Diceros bicornis minor: one gene and its partner. Each later gene encodes a partner of the first gene's protein in a complex. Links are inferred from orthologs where the notes say so. Each region holds a gene or a part of one and is shown in the gene's direction. Other genes may lie near its edges.

What was found.
Region 2: the proteins of XKR8 (region 1) and BSG are in contact, whole or in part, in a cryo-EM structure (PDB 7DCE), measured with the Homo sapiens proteins. The link is inferred for Diceros bicornis minor from reciprocal best matches to the Homo sapiens genes XKR8 and BSG. Residues at the interface, in NP_060523.2 of Homo sapiens: His232, Leu236, Val239, Leu242, Trp243, Leu246, Gln247, Arg280, Gly283, Arg284, Ile287, Phe291, Ser294, Asp295, Leu298, Ala301, Thr302; in NP_001719.2 of Homo sapiens: Trp326, Pro327, Gly330, Ile331, Glu334, Val335, Leu338, Val339, Ile341, Ile342, Phe343, Tyr345, Glu346, Lys350.

What each region holds. Positions count from the first base shown.
Region 1 is NC_080752.1:43,432,478-43,441,954, forward strand, and holds the start of XKR8 (XK-related protein 8), read left to right. Parts: upstream 1-5,986; 5' UTR 5,987-6,142; coding exon 6,143-6,435; intron 6,436-8,452; coding exon 8,453-8,649; intron 8,650-9,477. Other genes in the region: SMPDL3B (acid sphingomyelinase-like phosphodiesterase 3b), read left to right, coding at 761-933, 2,071-2,251, 2,337-2,470, 4,671-4,749, 4,886-5,493.
Region 2 is NW_026691553.1:240,421-249,503, forward strand, and holds the start of BSG (basigin), read left to right. Parts: upstream 1-5,479; 5' UTR 5,480-5,514; coding exon 5,515-5,581; intron 5,582-9,083.

The sequences.
Region 1 (9,477 bases):
CAGGCACTATTCTCTGCACGTTACTAGACTCCTCGCAACAACCCCAGGAAGGCGCAGTGACCATCAGTTCAAGCAGGGTTTCTCAACCTTGCCACTATTGACATGTTGGGCTGGATAATTCTTTGCTGTGGGGGCTGTTCTATGTACTGTAGGATGTTTAGCGGCATCTCTGGCCTTTACCCACTAGATGCCGGAAACACCCCTGTTGCAATAACGAAAAATGTTCTGGACATTGCCAAATATTCCCTGGGGCACAAGATCCTCTGGTTGAGAACCACTGATCAGAGACACAGCCAGCCCAAGGTTCCCCTTACCTACTCTCTTCCCTTTCCCTCAGTTCCCTGCTGTTGGGGCTCCCCATTGGCCAAACCCAAGCAGAAGCCCATGGCATAGAAGCCTATTGATTTACTTCACATAGATCAGCTCCTGGAGCAGAGAGCTGAGTGGAGAAGGGTTGACAGTGGATCTGGAGGGGCAAACACACCTCATTGTTATTCCCATTACACAGAGGAGGAAACTGAGGCATAGAGAGGTTAACTTTTCCAAGTTGCACAGCTAATAAGTGATAGAGCCAGGGCTTGAACTCAGGCACCCTGGCTCCAGAATCTTTGGTCTTACTCATGATGCCCCTCCTGTGGGAAAAATGGGAAGGGAGGATGCAAGGGAAGGAGAAGGTGAGAGAGTGAAGTGAAGGGGGCAGAGGCGTGTCTGGTCAGAGGCAGAGGACCCCTTCAGATTTTCCCTGGCTGTGATGTTCCAGGTGCCTTTTATTCTGAGAAGTTGCTGGGGCCGAGTGGGGCTGGGCGAATCGTGGTCCTCAACACCAATCTGTACTATAGCAACAATGAGCAGACAGCTGGCATGGCCGACCCCGGCCAGCAGTTCCAGTGGCTGGAAGACGTGCTGACCAATGCATCCCGAGCTGGGGAAATGGTAAGGGCTGCTGCCACCTCCTCCTCCCTCTCTGGGGTCACTTCCTGAACAGGTCTGCCGCCTCCGCACAAACTCACCCACCCAACCCGAGATGCCCACATCACAGAGGGTCCTTCATCAACCCAGCACCAGGAGGGGGCTTGTTCCATCCTGACAACAGCATGTGAGGCTGGGACCCTGGAGCCCATTGCAGATGTGAGGCTCCTGAGGGGTGGTGACCGTCCTGTCACACAATAAGTGGTGGAGCTGAGACTAGAACCTCAGTCTCCAGACTCCAAGTCCAGTGCTCTTTCCACTGCCCCGACATGCCACAGCTGCAGCCCACATAAAGGGATGCCCTGCCCTGGAGGTGGTCCATCTAGTCTGCTGGGCTGGCAGCTCCCTGAGGACTAGCCCTGTGTCTCATTTTCCTGAGTCCTGCACTGACCAGCACATCCCAGCAGAATCTCACGGCCGGTGCTTCTGAGCACTCACTATGCATCAGGCACGTTGCTAAGTGTTTTATATGGATTATCTCATTTTCTGAAAACTCCACCAGTTAGGTGCTATTCCCGATGTGAAAACAGAAGCTCAGAGAGGTGATCCACAGCTGGTGTCCAAGATGCAGTTTGACTCCAAAGCTCATGCTCTTAACTGCTCTCCCCCTACCCCCCATTCTACCTCTTGCAATGGTGGCCAAGGGCCCAGGTATTGTTAGCTGAGTGATTCAAGCAATGTAAGACGTGAACACACATTACCACATAGCATGTGCTACACAACCAGGCAAGGAAGGTTTAGTGACAGGGCCTGAGCTCTCCAAGAGAGAAGACTAGTCTCCGAAGGATCAGGAAGGTTTCATGAGGAGGTGCCCTTTGAGCTAGGTTTTGAACTACAAGTAGGATTTACAGAAGTGAAAATGAGAAAGGTACTCCAGGTGGCAGGCATAGCACGGGCAAAGGCACAGAAGTGGGGAAGTGTGTGGGACATTCATTGCTGGGTACAGAGAGTGCCGGAATCTGCCAGAGGTAGTCTTTCGGGGGAGGAGGTACATTTGAGCCTGTCTGCTTGCCTTTGGGGAGAAAGGCAGGTTTGGAGAGGGGGCAATGAGGGGTTGAGGAGGACATCTCGGAGCTCCTCCTGGACACCCCTTCCCTGTAGGTATACATTATTGGCCACGTGCCCCCGGGGTTCTTTGAGAAGACACGAAACAAGGCATGGTTCCGGGAGGGCTTCAACGAGGAGTACCTGAAGGTGGTCCAGAAGCACCATCGAGTCATCGCAGGGCAGTTCTTCGGGCACCACCACACCGACAGCTTTCGAATGTTCTATGATGATGCAGGTACTCAACCTGAAGGGCAACTGCCAGCCCACCTCCCTCCTTCTCTGGCCGGCCTCTCTCAGTCCCACTGTCTTTCTCCTGAAAGGTGCCCCCATCAGTGTCATGTTCATTACACCTGGGGTCACCCCATGGAAAACCACGTTACCTGGAGTGGTCAACGGGGCCAACAATCCAGGCATCCGGGTGTTCGAATACGACCAAGCCACACTGAGCCTGCAGGTCAGGAGCCCTGGTCTGTTGGGGTCAGAGGAGGAGGGAGGGGAGGGACCTGGACACCTCACTGCCTTCCCTAACTCTCTCCCAGCTAACCCACCCTCTGCTGACCACTGAGCCTCAGGAAGCTCAAGTTACTTCCATCCTTTCAGAGCTCAGGTTCAGAACCCTAGAGCCACCTCCCAACCCTGCCACCAAGTCAGGTCAATTCTTCTTCCCCAAATCTCTCTTGGCCCTGGATCACAGCCTCCTAGCCCTGCCCTGCTGTAGCTCATCTGCTACACATTACAGAAAGAGTTAATCTTTCTAAAGCACTTCTCTCTCTCCTGCTCAAAAACCTTCAATGGCTCCCCAGTGCCCCCAAAACAAGTTGGATCTCCTTGACCTCATAGTCAAGGCCTCCCACAGTGTGACCTCGGGCCTCCTACCCACTGCTTCCCTACACCAACTAGGCCCCAGCCATAGCAGGCCCCTAAGGCATCGAGCCATCCCTCACCTCCTGAGATGTGCTTGTGATTGTTGAAATGACAAAGAAATATTATTCCTTAATTGATTCAACAAAATGTACCAGGCATCTGCCATGTGCTAAGCTCAGGTGATACATAAGTGAACAAAAACAGCCTCAGCTCTCCTGGATCTGACCTTCTTATGGGAGACAGACAATAAAGGAGTAAGTAAAGTATGGCACAGGAAGAAGAGCTATGGAGAAACGAAAACACACTGAGGAGACAAGTAGTGACGGTTACAGGGTGTGTTGTGTGCTGTTAGGTAGGTGGGGCAGGGAAGTGTCCCTGATAGGGTGACATTTGAATTCTGAGTAAATTCAGGGAGCAAGCCATGTGAGCATCAGGGGAAGGCGGAGGAAGAGCAAGTCAAAGGCCCTGGGGTGGGGATGTTCTTGGTGTGTTAGAGGAAGAACAGGGAGACCAGTGTGGCTGCGGTGGAAGGATAAGGGGAGAGTGGGAGGGATGAGGTCAGATCACGTAGGCCATCATTAGGACTCTGCATTTGGGGAGTTTGGGGCAGATGAATTAAATATTTTAACTTACAATTTTACAAAGTCACCATGTCTGCTGTGCAGAGAACAGGCTGTTGGGGGCAAGGGCAGAAGTAGGGTATCGGTGAGGAGGTCACCACAGGAACCACTGAGAAGGGAGGGTGGCGGGGGCCAGAGTGGCAGCAGTGGGGTGGCGAGAAGTGCCAGATCCTGGACGTACTTCGAAGGCAGAGCGGACAGGATTTGCTGGTGGATTGGATGAGGGGTGTGAGAGCAAGAGAGGGGTCAAGGAGGACTCCAAGGCTTTGGCCTGAGCACCTGGAAGGATGAGGCTGCCGCTTACTGAAATGGGACACTGTCGAAGTGCAGGTTTTGGAGGGAAGATCAGAAGTCTGGTTTGGACCTGTTCACTTTGGGATGTCTAAATGGCATCCAAATGAAAATGCCGAGGGAAGAGGAAGTTGGGTGTTCAAGCTGGAGTTCCAGGAAGAGGTGGGTATAGAGACTTAATCTGGTTGATGAGAAAGGCCATTTAAAACCAGGGACTGGAGGAGATAACCCAGGTCCTTTGTTCCAGAGTAAATGTGGATGGAGACGAGGCCTGAGGATTTTTAGAGTATGGCCAGTTGTCCACATGGGCACGCAGAAGGCCCTACATCCTTCTCAGGGAGGGAGTCAGACAGACGTAGGTTTGAATCCTGGCTTCAGGACTCATGAGCTTTTTGACCTTTCTGGGCCTCTGTTGCTTCATCTGTAAAATGGGAGTAACAGTACCTCACAGGGGTGGGGAGGACTAACTGAAATAATGTCATGTGCCCAGCAGGAAGCTGTCATCCATACATGGCAGCTCCTCTTACCCCACCTCTAGCGCCCTGAAGCAGGTCCATATATTCAAGTGGATATTATTGGACAGATAAACCCTTCCAGATTCTAGTCCTGAAAATGCACCTGAGTCCTAGGGGGTCCTGGGTGTATCCCAAGCCCCCATCAACCACAATTCTATAACCTCTCTCAGCCAGGCACTCTGTCCCACTTCTTTTAAGTTGCTTTTTATCCATTCACTCTGTAAATATTTACTGAGCATTTTCTGTGCTTGCTGGGACAGAAAATGCACGGGCCATGGGGTAAACAACCTGGGTTCCAATCCCGCCTCTGCCACTGAACACCTGTAGGACCCTGGCCAAAGGCATTAACCCCTTTAGGCCTCAGTTTCTCATAGGTGAAATGGGGCTAATAAGCACAGTTACCTCATCAGATTCAATCAGAGGATGTCTGCCAAGCATACCTGGTAAGTAGTAAATGCTCAGTAACTAATAGTGGTCATTATTACGGCTATAGAGAATTTGGGGGCAAATGCAAGGTACAGGATTGGGGTGGAACCGTACAGCTGCTCATGGCCGGCCTGCCTCGCGCCCCCTCTCTAGGACATGGTGACCTACTTCGTGAACCTGAGCCAGGCGAACGCGCAGGGGGCGCCCAGCTGGGAGCTCGAGTACCGGGTGACCGAGGCCTACGGGGTGCCCAACGCGAGCATCCGCTCCATGCACGCGGCACTGGGCCGCATCGCCAGCGACCAGGGCGCGCTGCAGCGCTACTATGTCTACAACTCGGTCAGTTACGACACCCAGGCCTGCGGCGAGGCCTGCCGCACCGAGCACGTGTGCGCGCTGCGCGAGGTGGCCTTCGACGCGTACTACGCCTGCCTGCGCGCCCCCGGCGCCGCGCCCGCGCCCAGGCTCGCGCTCCTGCTCGCGGCGCTGCTGGGCCTGCGCGCGCTGCTCGCGCCGTGACCTTGGGCGCCGCCCGCTGGCACGCTGAGTTCGTCTTCCCGGTGGTAAATGGGGGCAGCGTCACCCCGAGAGCTGGGCTTTTCCTCCTTTTCCCCCGCAGAGTGAACTGGGATGGGACAGCCGGATCAGGAAATGAAGCACCAAAGACCCCACCAGAAGCACATTTCTTTCATGTTTTATCCGAAAAACAATGCTCATCGTGCATCTTATTCTGTGCATTATTCCTTTTAATATGTACATAACGTTTAAAGCAACTCCCTTGCAGCTATTGAACGTCCTCCCCTCCTCCTCGAGCGGATAATCAGAGCGAAATGAGCCACCAAGGAGATGCGCCTTGTTGGTCCTGTGCCCTCAGTACTGTGCCCATGGCCCGAACTTGAGGCACACCTAGTTTGCGACAGGCCTTTCTGTTTTGTTGTTTTGTTTTGCAACAATGCAGATGTGAAGGGATTGCAGTTCTAGCGCCGGCGCTAATTTCTGGGCCCCTTTCGCTGTCTTGGGCCTCCTGGAGGGACAAATGCAATACAAGGCAATTAGAAGCCTGCTAGGCTAAGGGCGGTGCGCCTCGGACGGTCAGTCTTAGGGCCCAGCGGTCCTCGGGGATCGGAGGGCTAGGTGGGGGGAATCCCAAGGCAGGATGCAAGGCCAGAGCCCCGCAAGTCCGTCAGTGACGCGGCAGGACGGGGGTGGGGGACCACGGACAACCCAGACGCGAGGTACGCGGGTCTTGCTCCTCCCCGGACAGGGCGGGACAGGGAAGTCCCGCCCAGCAGGCCCCGGCCCTAGGCGGCCCCGAGGGCTGTGCCCGCCTCCTTCCTGCAGCTAAGACCCCGGGGCCCGGAGGGCGGGTCCAAGCCGAAGAAGAGAAGGAGGGGGAGAGGCTGGTGGGTCATGCCCTGGTCACCCCACGCCGCGCTCCTTAGGGACCTGGTCCTGGGCGTATTGGGCACCGCCGCCTTCCTGATCGACCTGGGCGCTGACCTATGGGCCGCGGGCCAGTACGTGCTCAGCGGTCGCTACCTGTGGGCCGCGCTGGTGCTGGCGCTGCTGGGCCTCGCCTCGGTCGCGATGCAGCTCTTCAGCTGGGTCTGGCTGCGCGCCGACCCCGCCGGCCTGCACGCTCCGCAGCCCCCGGGCCGCTGCCTGGCGCTGCTGCATCTCCTGCAGCTGGGCTACCTGTACAGGTGAGCGCCCCGCCCTCGGAAGGAGGGAGGGGGAACGGAGCCCAGCGGCACTTCCTGCAGCTGGGAAGAGGGTGGGGAGGAGAGGACCAGGACCCAGGAGAGGAAACTAAGCCCCTTGGGCACCTCTACCTACAGGTAAGTTCTCCGTCCCTCAAAGAGAGAGAGCTCCCGCTGACAACCCTCAGCGCTCATCTAGCCCTGCTCTTCCTGGCACAGGGGAAGAAACTGAGGCCCAGAGAAAAAAGGGAGGCGCATGGTTTGGAGTCAGACCTCTCTGGTATCCAGTCCTGGCTTTCCCGCCTGTGGCTTCATTCCTGCCTTTCTCTGAGCCTGGGTTTCCTCCTCTGTTAAAAGGAAGTAGTAATCTAGATTAGGGCTGGCAGGCGGGCCTGTTGTGAGGAGAGAGGGAAAACGCCTAGCCCGGCGCTTGGCACATGTTGGACTCTGTTGTGATGGCAAAGACCCCCAGACTCGGTTCAACACTAGGCTGTTCTTTTAGCTGTGGGTGGAGTCTTGGGCAAGTCACTTGACAACCCCCGCCCCGCCGCCGCCCCCCTCCTCCCCGCCCCGTTCCGGTGGGGATGGTCGTAGTTCGGGCCTCTGATGAGGACTGAAAAAAATGAGACCTGGAAAAACCCCCAGACTGAGCAAGAGGGCAGAGATGGGGTCTGACTCATCCTTGCCCCTGGAGCCAGCCTTTTCAGAACTGGCAGGGCCCTATAGAGTTGGGGAAACTGAAAGCCAGGGGTCAGTCCTGTGACGAAGTCAGGACGTGGTGTGGTCTGGGTTGGGATGGGGTGGCTGGAGCCAGGATTCACTCTTGGATGCATTTTTACAATTTCTGTCCAGATCTTGCCTTGACAAAGCTGCATCGATTCTCCAGGAGGGACAAGTGGAGCTTTGAATGTTGCAGTTTTGTCTGAGGGACCAGACGGGCATCAGTTAAACCTGGGGTGGGCGGGGAGGGGCACAGTTATTACGGTCCTGGCAGGTCTCAGTGAGCCCTGAATCCGCAACTACGCCACGCATCCTCCCTTCCCTATTTCTGTTGAGCGTGAGGCAGACAGACTATATGGAGCTTTGGTTTAGAAACAGGGTCTCTGTTCCTGCCTGTGACTAGGCTGAGGCAGGGGCCCCTGCCAGGTATTGGGGGACCAGAGGCAGAGGCTTCTGCTGAGAGAGAGCCCTGACCCAGGCCTGCCTGCCTGCTGCCTTAGTGTGTTGTCAAGTCCATTCAGGGGAAGTGTCAGTAACCAATGATGAATGAATTTGCAGTGAGTATATGGGCTCCCTTTCCTGTGGCCAACTGAGATCAGTTCTGAGTGGGCAAGACTTTGGTGCATCCTCTATTCCTGCCTCGTGCCAGTGGGTCACCCAGGCCTGTCTGTCCACTCTGGACTCTTTTGACTCCGCCCTGGTCTCTGTCTCCACCACTCTGGTCAGGCTCTCATGCTTTCTCCCTGAACTGTTACAACAGCCTCTTAAATGGATCCCTGCTTCCAATCCAACCCCTCCCACCCTTCCTCCTCTTCACAGCCGTGGTAATTTTTCTAAAGCACAATCTGACTTATCTGCCTATGCTTAGAAGCTCTCAATGGCTCCCCTGCCCCATAGGATCCCAAGAAATTCTTAAGCATGCTAAAATTTGAGAACTAGCACCTTAGGCAATTTCATATGTCTTTCAAATTCAAACAGCTTTGGATCCAAATCCTGATTCCACCCTCATTAGCTCTTTGGTGCTGTTTCCCCATCTGTAAAATCGGGATGTTGTAGGGAGTAAAGGGGACAAGATTTGTGATGAGCTTGGGACATTGCCTGGCCAGCAGTAGTTGTGTTTATCCCCATTTTACAGATGAAGAAGCAAGTTCAGTGAGGTGAAGTCGCTTGCCCAAGGCCCCACAGCATGTTAGTGACAAGCTAGGATTGGAGGTCTGTCTGCATCCACCCGATAGGTTAGGGGAGAGAGGAATAGCCGAGGACACTAACCTGGCCCCTTGGGGCATCTGTATGTGCCTAGGTGCCTGCAGGGGCTGCGGCAGGGGCTGTTGGTCTGGCAGCAGGAGGTGCCCTCCGACTTTGACATGGCCTACGCCGACTTCCTCTCCCTGGACATCAGCATGCTGCGACTCTTCGAGACCTTCTTGGAGACGACACCGCAGCTCACGCTGGTGCTGGCCATCATTCTGCAGAGTGGCCAGGTCGAGTACTACCAGTGTGAGTGACGCACCCCCCTATGGCTTGGGAACGTTTCCTACAAATGTCAAAATGTTTTCACTCTTATAAGGGCTGCTTAGCAAATAGGAGAACATCCTTTAGTCAGGCAGGTCTGGCTTCAAATCCAAAGTCACTCTCTAGCCATATGAGTTTGGACAAATGATTCAACCTGAGTATGGGTTTGTTCTCATCTGTAAAATGGACATAATAAATGATCCTACCTCATAGGGCTGATGAAAGGATTAAGTGAGGTGATGCATATGAAGCCTGGTGCATAATACATTTTAATTGTAATTTTTACTATTTTGAGGATAATGTTTACTATTTTGAAGATAAAGTGTGTAGGGTGCCTGACAGATAATAGACAATTTGTTAGTCAATAAACAATTTATTGAGCTCCTTCATACACTCAAGTTTTATTGAGCACCTTTGTGCCTGTCCCTGTGCCAAGGACACCACAGTGAACTGGGACACAGCCCCTGCCCTGCCAGGATGATAGACTGTAAAGCAGGTAGTTAAGTAACATGTGTTGAGTGATCTGAAAAGGGAGAGGCAGGTGGCCTCATAAACCGGGGGAAGTTTGTACAGTGAGGAGTGCTGGGAGGGTTTTCTCTTATAAAAGGGAAGAGAATTGCCCAAGGTCACAGAGCCAGCTGGCGGCCCACCTAGGACTCCAACTGCCATCTGATTCGAGGTCCAGGGCTCCCCCTTCTCCTTTACCACCCCTACACACCTTGAGGGCCCCCTGCTGTACACACCACAGCCTCCCAAGGAACCAGTCCCCACTCTGCCATCACTTGCTGTGTGACCCAGGCAGTCTTCCCCTCT
Region 2 (9,083 bases), on another chromosome or scaffold:
TGTCTACATTTCCCTCCTATAAGGACAACACTCACATTTAGGGCTTGCCCTGCCCCAGCGTGACCGCAGCCTAACTAATCTGCCTCCAGTGACCCCGTTCCCAAATGAGGCCCCGTTTTGAGGTTCAGTGATGTGAATTCTGGAGGGGACACCACTCGCCCCGGGACAGACGGGGACACTTGTTGCCCTGCGATGGAAGGCTGTTCTCACCCCAGCGACTGACAAGGAGACCGTGGCTCTGGGCGAAGCCACGTCCCACGTCCCTGAGAGGCGGGGGAGTCGGGGGGGCCTCGGGCCCGGGTCCCCCAACATGACACTGGGGAAATGGACAATGGGACAGGCACGTGGAGAGACTGGCCAGCCTGGGGTCTGTCCCAGAACAAAGGACAGAGGACAACAGCACAGCTCACGCGGCGAGCGCAGGGCTGGGCTGGCCGGAGAGCTGGGGAAAATGCCGGGCACTCAGGGGCGTGGACCCAGCGTTTATTTGCAGAAATACTCAGCTTCTCAAATATGATCCTCTCTCTCACATCTTAGGGTTGAAGGTGGTGCCGGCAAGTCTAGGGGGAACATGTGAGAAGGAGAGAGAGACAGAGACAGAGACAGAGAAAGAGAGAGAGACAGAAAGAGATAGAGAGACATACAGAGACAGAGAGAGAGGGAGAGAGACAGAGATAGAGAGCAGAGACAGAGAGGGAGAGAGACAGAGACAGGGACAGACAGAGACAGAGATACAGACACAGAGAGACACGGAGAGACGGAGAGAGGGGGGAGGGAGCAGATGTCCCCGGCTGGGCATGCAGGTGAGGGGGGTTATTATCCTTAGAACTTCACTGAAGTTTGAGGACTTTTCAAAATAAAACATTGAGGGGGCCGGCCTGGTGGCTGAGTGGTTGAGTTTGGGGCTCTCCGCTTTGGTGGCCCAGGTTCACGGGTTCGGATCTCAGGTGCGGACCTATACCACCCATCAGCCATGCTGACGCAGCGTCCCACGTACAAAATAGAGGAAGATGGGCACAGATGTTAGCTCAGCGTTAATCTTCCTCAGCAAAAAAAAAAAAAAAATTGTAAAACAAAAAATCTTCCTCTTATCCCGCTACGACAAAGATATGGACACACTGGGGAGGAAACCTTGAAATCAACCAGGAAATCCTACAGCTCAGCGACCAGAGGTCGACAAGGGTCCCTGACACTCATGAATAACCGTCAACGAAAAGAAACCCTCGGTTATCAGCCTGGTGGACCAGGCTGGGGAAAGACTGGTTATCTTCCTTTCTTATACGGATTTATCTTTGTCTTGTCTTATCTTTATTTTTTGGAGTGCATCGCTAGAAAAGACTACAAACCCACGGGCGCAGAAGTCCAAAGCCCAAAGGCTCATCTAGAGGGACTGTCTGCATTTTCTGGGGAAGATACCGGTGATGGACGGGGGTGGGGAGGGCGGTGGCTCCCGTGACCCCCTCGCAGGGCGGCGGTGGTGGTGGCACTCGGTGGACGGACGCGCCCGCCCTTAACGCCAGTGCCAGGCTGGCTGGCCGGGTGTCTCCCGGGTCCCCGCCTGCGGGCACTCCTGGGCCGTAACAAAACAGCACAACTGGGTGGCTTAAGACAACAGAAATTACACCCTCATGGTTCTGGGGGCAGAAATCCAAGATCACGGTGTGGCAGGGCCGGGCTCCCTCCAGAGGCTCCAGGGGAGGGTCCTTCCTGCTTCGTCCAGCCTCTGGGGGCCCCGGCGTCCTGGGCTTGTGGCCGCATCACCCCAGTCTCGGCCTCTGTCATCACATGGCTTCTCTGTGTCTGTCGCTCCTCTTCTGTCTCTTATAAGGACGTTGTCATTGGATTTAGGGCCACCCTTATCCACGAGGACTTCATATCAAGACTCTTAATTACATCTGCAAAGACCCTTTTTCCAAATAAAGTCCCATTCACAGGGTCTGGGAGCTGCCTTGTTGTCCCCTGCCCATGTCCACTCCCACCCCCAGGGCCTCTCCCCTGGCGGCCGAGACATCCCCCGATGACACAGGTCAGAGGAGAGGACGACCCTCCCTGCTCACATCCCTCCCCGGGCTCCCTGGGGCCCAGGAATGAAATCCACCTTCTCCCAGCCGTCACCGCCTGGGGCCGGGCTGCATCTCCAAGCTCCCAGAAGAATACGCCTGGAGAACTAGCTGGAACATTCGAGCAAGGGACAGAGGTGTGACAGAGAATGAAAATCCTACGTCGTCGTCTCTCCTCCCATCTGTGAGTTGAAAGGTTTTATAAGAAAAAGCACAAGGTGAGCAAACCAGGGCAGATACCCAGCGATGGGACAGCGGCCGGTGTCTCAAGTGTGAGGCCCTCGGGACAAGACGGCCTCTGCCAGGGAGGGAAGGGGCGAGGCAGTGACCTGGAAAGGGCACAGCCTGGGCAAAGGCTCAGAGGCAGGAAACACTGCCAGTGAGGCTGGGGCCAAAGGCGTGGTGGGTGGAGGGCGCCGAGGCCGAAGGGGTCAGTGGGGGCGAGGCCGAGGGAGGGGTTCGGCCTCGATTGCAAGAGCTGCTGGAACGAGGGAGATCCAGGCCAGAGGAGACAGCTGCCTCCTTCTCCTGCTGTCAGAGGAAGCCGCCAGATCTGAAATCCGGGCCCTCCCAGAGGGGGTGCAGGCCCCGGAGGCCAGGGTGGGAGACAGCGAGGGTCCTGGATGTCCACTCGCCCACAGCCAATTAGGGGCACCCGCAGGGGGCAGATGGCGGCCCGGCACAGGGCCCAGGCCAGGCTGGCTGTCCCTGCCCTGCACACGGGCAGGCGGACAGCAGGCAAGGGGCCCGGGATGGACGTGAGGTCAGAGAGTGACCTGTGCGATGAGGGGAGTTACAAGGGTGAGGGGACCGGGTCAGAGATGCCGATGGAAGACGCCAAATTCAGTTACATTTGAATTTCAGACGTAGGACAGGCAATTTTGGGGATCAGTATATCCCAGATACTGCGTGGGACCTACTGATAACTTAAAAAGGTACTGATTTTTTTTTTTTTTTATCTGAACTTCAAATGTAACTGGGTGTCCTGTATTTCCGTTTGGTAAATCTGGCCACCCAGCCCGCGTGGCCCTGGCTGGCCTCTCCGTGGAGGCAGAGGGGGACAGGGAGCCGCCTGCCCCAGGGTGAGGCCAGGACAGAACAGAGCGGGGATCGGGGAGGGGGACAGAAAACTGGGTCTTCAAGGAGGCACAGCTTTGTTCCGTAAACAAAGGCTTCCCGGCAGCCCTGATATTTCCCATGAGATCTGTCCGCAGCCCAGCCCAGCGAGGGCGGGGCGGGGGCCAGAAATCCTGCCCAGGCCAGGGGCTTTGAAGCCAGCTGGCGGCCTTCCTCCCCCATTCTGCACGTAGCTCTCAACCCCCCTGCGTGCGGCCTCAACAAGCCGGATGGGCCTGGGGCTGGGGCTTCTGGTTGGCTCCCGGGCGGTTCTGAGGCTCCAGGCCCCAGGAGTGAGGTCCTCACCCACAACCCCTTCATCAGCAAGTCCCGGCCCCTCTGCCACATCCTTCCCACGTTTTCCTCCAAAGCCCCCCAAAGCTGGGACTCTGCCGGCTCTGCCCACCCTCCTCCCTGGACCTGCCTCCCCGGGCCAGACAGGCTGTTCCCAGACACACCGCTCACCCCTTACTGTGGCCACTGTTTCCTTGTTCTTGTCACCTTGTATGTCTTCGCGTCCCTGACCCCTTATCTAAAGCACATTACCCTATATTTAATTGAGATAATTCACACACCATACAATTCACACAAGTAAAGTCTGTAGCTCAGTGGGTTTAGTACATTTCAGAGTTGTGCACCCATCACCACATTCAATTTCAGAACATTTTCATCACCCTAGAAAGCAATCCCACCCAATCAGCAGTAACTCCTCACCCATATCCCCCAGCCCCTGGCAACCATGAACCCACTCTCTGTCTGTGGATGTGCCTGTTCTGGACGTTTCACATCAATGGAATCACACACCGTGTGGTCTTCTGTGTCTGGTTCTCTCACTGAGCATCGTGTGTTCAAGGTCCGTCCACAGTATAGCTGTGTCAGGGCTTCACTCCTTTTGATGGCTGTGTCGTATTCGAGTGTGTGGATGGATCCGTTGTGTGGATCCATTCATCCATCGATGGGCATTTGGGCTGTTCTGCTTTTTGGCCGTTACGAATCATGCTGCTGTGAACACTTACGTACAAGTTTCCACGTGGACGTGGATTTTCAGTTCTTGTGGGGAGTGGAATTACCAGGTCAGATGGTAACTCTGGTTTACCCTTCTGAGGCCCTGCCCATGTTCTGCGCAGGGGCTGCACCATCTTCCATCCCGCCACCTGTGCACAGGGCTCCGGTGTCTCCACTTCTCACCAGCACTTGCTGTCTTCCGCGTTCTCGCTGCGAGCTGTCCCAGCGGGTGTGAACTGCTGTCTCACTGTGGTTGTGGTTTGCATTCCCCTGATGGCTCAGGATGCTGAGCCCTTCTTCATGTACTTGTCGTCCGTTTCTGTGTCTTCTTTGGAGAAGCGTATATTCTGATCCTTCGTCCGTTTTTTAACAGGGTCGTGCGTCTTTTTTTTTATCCAGTTGTCAGCGTTCTTTATGTATTATAGATATAAGTCCCTATCAGATACGATTCACCGATATTTTCTCCCGTTCTGTGTGTTGGCTTTTCACTTTCTTCTTAGTATTCTTTGAGGCACAAAAGTTTGTAATGTTGATGAAGTCCTATTTATTTTTTCCTTTGTTGCTTGCGCTTTTGGTGTCACGTCTAAGAAACCACTGCCTAGCCCAGGGTCACGAAGATTACATGATCCTGTTTTTGCTTGAAATTGTCGTTTTTTAAAGTATTTGTTGTAAGACAAACCCCAGGGTAGGTCTTCCAGGCAAATATAGGACAGCCGGTTACACCTGAATTTCAGATAAATAGCCATACTTCCCTTGAATAAGTATGTCCCAATATTGCACGGGTACTTACACTAAGAAGTCACTCGTTCTCTGTCTTAAACTTAAAACTTAACTGCGTCCGGGTGTTTTTTTTGCTAAATCTGGCAGCCCCCCGCCCCAGGGCACACGTGCACCTGTTCACAGGGATCTCTATCGCCTCCTCTAATGCTTCTTTCTCTTTCGTGTCGTGACAGAACACACATAGTATAAATGGAGCATTTTAGCCCCTTTTGGGTGCACAGCTCCGTTCCAACAACGTTTCCGAAAGAACGAAGGGAAACCAGGCTCCCAGCCCCGCCCGCGCGGGCCCCCCCTGTTTCCTAGCAACGCGGCCACGCCCCAGGCCGCGGGGCGTGGCCTGCCCGGGTCACGTGGTGCTGCCGCCCCGGCTTCCGTAGCGCGAGCCTGCCCGGGCCAGCGCGTGCGTACGTGCACCCGTGCGCGTGCGCAGACGGCGGCCGACGTGCCTGCGCACCCCGCCCCGCCCCCGGCGCCGCCCTGCGTGCGCGCGCCCGGCCGGCCGCCCGGTTCTTATAGCGCCGCCGGCGGCGGTTGCGGCGGGGACGGCGGTGACATGGCGGCCGCTCTGGTGGTCGTGTTGGGGCTCGTGCTGCTGGGCGGCGAGGGTGGCTCCGGGCAAGGTGAGGCCAGCGGGTGCGGGGAGGCGGGCTCGGGGCCTGCGGAGTCCGGGTGGTCCCCGCGGTTTGTGGGGACTCGGGAGATTCCCGGGGGCGGCATGCGGGGGGCTTCCCGGGGTTTGGGGGGACCCTGAGAGTTCCCGGGGGCGGCAGTTGGGGAGGGGGTCCCTGGGGTTTGGGGGGACCCGGGGGGTTTCCGGGAGCGGCATGGAGGGGGTCCCCGGGGTTTGGGAGGACCCGGGGAGATCCCACGGGCGGCATACGGGGGGGTTCCCCGGCGTTCGTGGGGACCCGAGGGGTTCCCGGGAACGGCATGCCGGGGGGTCCTCGGGGTTTGTGGGGACCTGGGGGGTTCCCGGGGTCAGCAGTGTGGGGGGTGGTCCCGGGGTTTGTGGGGACCCGAGGAATGCCCGGGGGCGGCAGTGCAGGGGGTGGCCGGGGAGTGGGGGCACGCGGCGGGTTCCCCGGGGGCGGCATGTGGGCGTCCCCGTGGTTTGGGGGGCTCAAGCGGGTTCCGGGGGATCCCAGTGCCGGGGGAGTTTCTGTGGTTTGGGAGGACCCAGCGGGTTACCCGGTGTGGCAGTTCTGGGGGAATTCTGGGTTTTGAGGGGACCAGAAAGATCCCAGGAGTGGTAGTGTGGATGTGGGGGTGCCCACTGAGGTACTGTGGGGGGCTTGGGGGCAGTTCTGGGTGTCGCAGTGTTGTGGGTTCCCGTGGTTCGGGGGGACTTGGGGTGTTGCAGGGGGTCCCAGGGTTTGAGGGGGCTCAGGAGAGGCTGCGGAAAGTTCTGGGGGGAGCAGTGCTGGGTGGGCTCCCTGGGGTTTGGGGGGACCCCGGGGGCTCCTTGGGCGCAGTGCTAGGGGGATATCTGTGCTTAGGGGGCCCCACGGGCCTGACTAGGGAAGAACTGGAGTGAAGTCTGATTTTCTTGATTGGGGGAGGGGAGGAGCCCTGAACTGGCCTGACCCCCTGATGAGGACTCCTGGGGAGAGGATCTGGAGGCACCCCCACGCATCTCTCCAGGGAAGGGACACCCCCCCCCACCCCCCCCCACCCCCCGTCCTTGAGCAGCTGGAGCCTGGTGGCCTGGGGAGGCAGCTAGGGAGTGGGGCCCCTGCCCTGGGAGTGTTGGGGAGGGGTGCAGTGGAGAGCCCCACCCCCACCCCGGGGCTTTTGGCTCTCATTTGGAAAGTGGGTATTGTCCCCAAGTGGGTGCAGGAGCCACATGCTCAGGAAGCGGCCGCTCCCGGGAGCTGGAAGGGATTGTCATTCCTCCCGGGATTAGGTCCCGTGGGCCGCGCTGGGACCTGCCCCGTGTCCGCCCCAACACTGACCCCTTGCAGGGGCCCGCACGCTCTGCTTCTTCTGGTCTTGTCTGATTTCGGGGCCCAGAACGAGGTGGTGTTGGTGCCCCTTACTCTTGTTGCGGCGTGGAAACTGAGCCTGGGTCGAGAGGGGAGATGTTCAAGGTCGCCGTGTGCTGCCGGAGCGCAGAGGGCTGCTTGCAGACTCAGGCGGGCTGGGCCCCGGGCCCTCACGGGCGTGGGCCGAGGTGGGGGCGGCCAGACGTCTGGTGTGGAGGAAGCGGCTGGGAACGTGTGATAAGACCGTTTTTCCAGAAGAAAGCACGACGGAGAGGGATGACTCCTTCCTGTGCCGAGACTCGTTCTGCGGTTCTGGGTTAAAGATTTATGGTGCCCGGCGTGGAGGGGACAAAGTGCAGCCCAGAAGGGTCCGGGCTCCGGCGGCTGTCCCGAGCAGGGCTGGGAGGGGCTGCTGTGGCACACGCTTCACCCGGTTACCCCTGACCCACTTTAAGGTCTCGGTCCACGCCTCCTTCCTTATGATCAGAATGACCATTTATTGACCGCCTCCGGGCCGGGGCCTTTGGCCTGCGGCCAGCCTGCCCGCTGTCTGCCTGCAGATAGGAGCCTGCGGGCAGATAGGAGCCTGCGGGCAGATAGGAGCCTGCGGGCAAGGTGCGCGCGGGAGATAGGCCCCTCAGCCCTCTGGACGAGGCCCTCGATGGCCCAGCGGGTGGGAAGGCCTCGGGCCTCCTGCTTCTCCCAGGGCTGCGCCCGGGCCTCCCCTTCTCCCTGTGACGGCTCCACCGTTCCCAGGGGCTTCAGGGGGGATCTGAGAGTCGGGGTGCCGGCCTCTTCTCCCGGGGTGGGTGAGGGGCTTAGTGGAGTGTTCGCCTCTCCTGGACGGGTCAGTCCTAGGAGCTTTCTTCGGGGCCTCTGCCAGGGGCGGTTTCCTCCATTCGAGCATCGGGTGCCGAGAGGCTGGCACTCGGCTTCTCACGCCCTGCCGGGAGACCCTGGCCCTGCCCGGGCCTGTCCAGGGTGCCGTCGTCCTGCTGGGGCGGGCAGCGGTTTGCTAGCTGGGTCCTGCGGGCCGGTGCCGTGGTCTCTCTGGTCCTCAGGTGAGGCATGGAGGGGAAGAGCCTGGCTGGCGTCCCCTCCCGTCTGGGCTCCCGCTCTGCGGCGGGTGGGGTGGAGGGGCGCCCGACGGCCGTCCTGAGCGCTCCGGGGCTGTTTGCCACGAGGCCTCCTGCCCAAGCCCGGCCCTGCCCCGAGCGGACACACGGGAGGGGTGGCTGTTTTTAGATGAAGGTGACTTTACTGAGAACGTGGGCTCTGGTCATGTGGCCCGAGTCGAGTTCTCACGTCTCCAGGGTGGCGGAGGGCCAGGCGCCCGCCCTGCTCCCGGCTCTGGGGGTGGAGGCTCCCTGTAGATTCTGGGGGGTGCTCCCCGAGGTGGGCGGGGCCGAGGGGGCTGGAGGGCGTTGTTCCAAGCCTTTTCCATTGTGACCCCCGCTGGCCTTGTCCCAGCGGTGTTTCCACATCACAGATATAACGTTACCTGTAGCGGCAAGTGTCTGTGTGGTGATCCCAGTGAGGGCCACCACTGTTGTAACGCCTGAGGTGCCCCTTGGGGACACAGCAGACGTGGCTGCCTGTGCCCAGTCCACAGAGAGGGCGCTGTGGTGGGACGGGCGGCCAGGTGGCCCAGGTGGGGCCTGGCACGGTCCCCTGCAGCGTGTGGCCCTCAGGCCGGGCCGGGGTGTGGGCCTGTGGGTCCTCTGACCCCCGGGGAGGGAGGAGGGGTGGGGGCCCGCCCTGGGGGCGGCTGGGACGGGATCTGCCCCAGCTCCTGTCTGGCAGCCCCAGGTGAGGGCAGCCCGGGTGAGGGATGGGAGCGCAGTCGCGTCGAGGCGGCCGCTTGGGGAGGAGGCCCCGGCCTTCTTCCTGCCCTGAGTCACCGCCTGCGGTGCTGGTTTTGCTCTCGGGAAATCTTGGGTCCTGAGCAACATGGAGGCAGATCCTCCTGTGAACACGGCGCAGCCACAGAAGCTCCCAGCCTCGCGCCCTGGGCCTGTCCTGAGTCCACCCCCGGCCCTGGGGCCCGGGGCCGGCAGCCTGCTGTGCTGTGCTGTGTGCCCTGTGTGTGCGAAGACGTGCACATGTGTGCCGTCTGCATGTGTGCGTGCATGTGCATGCC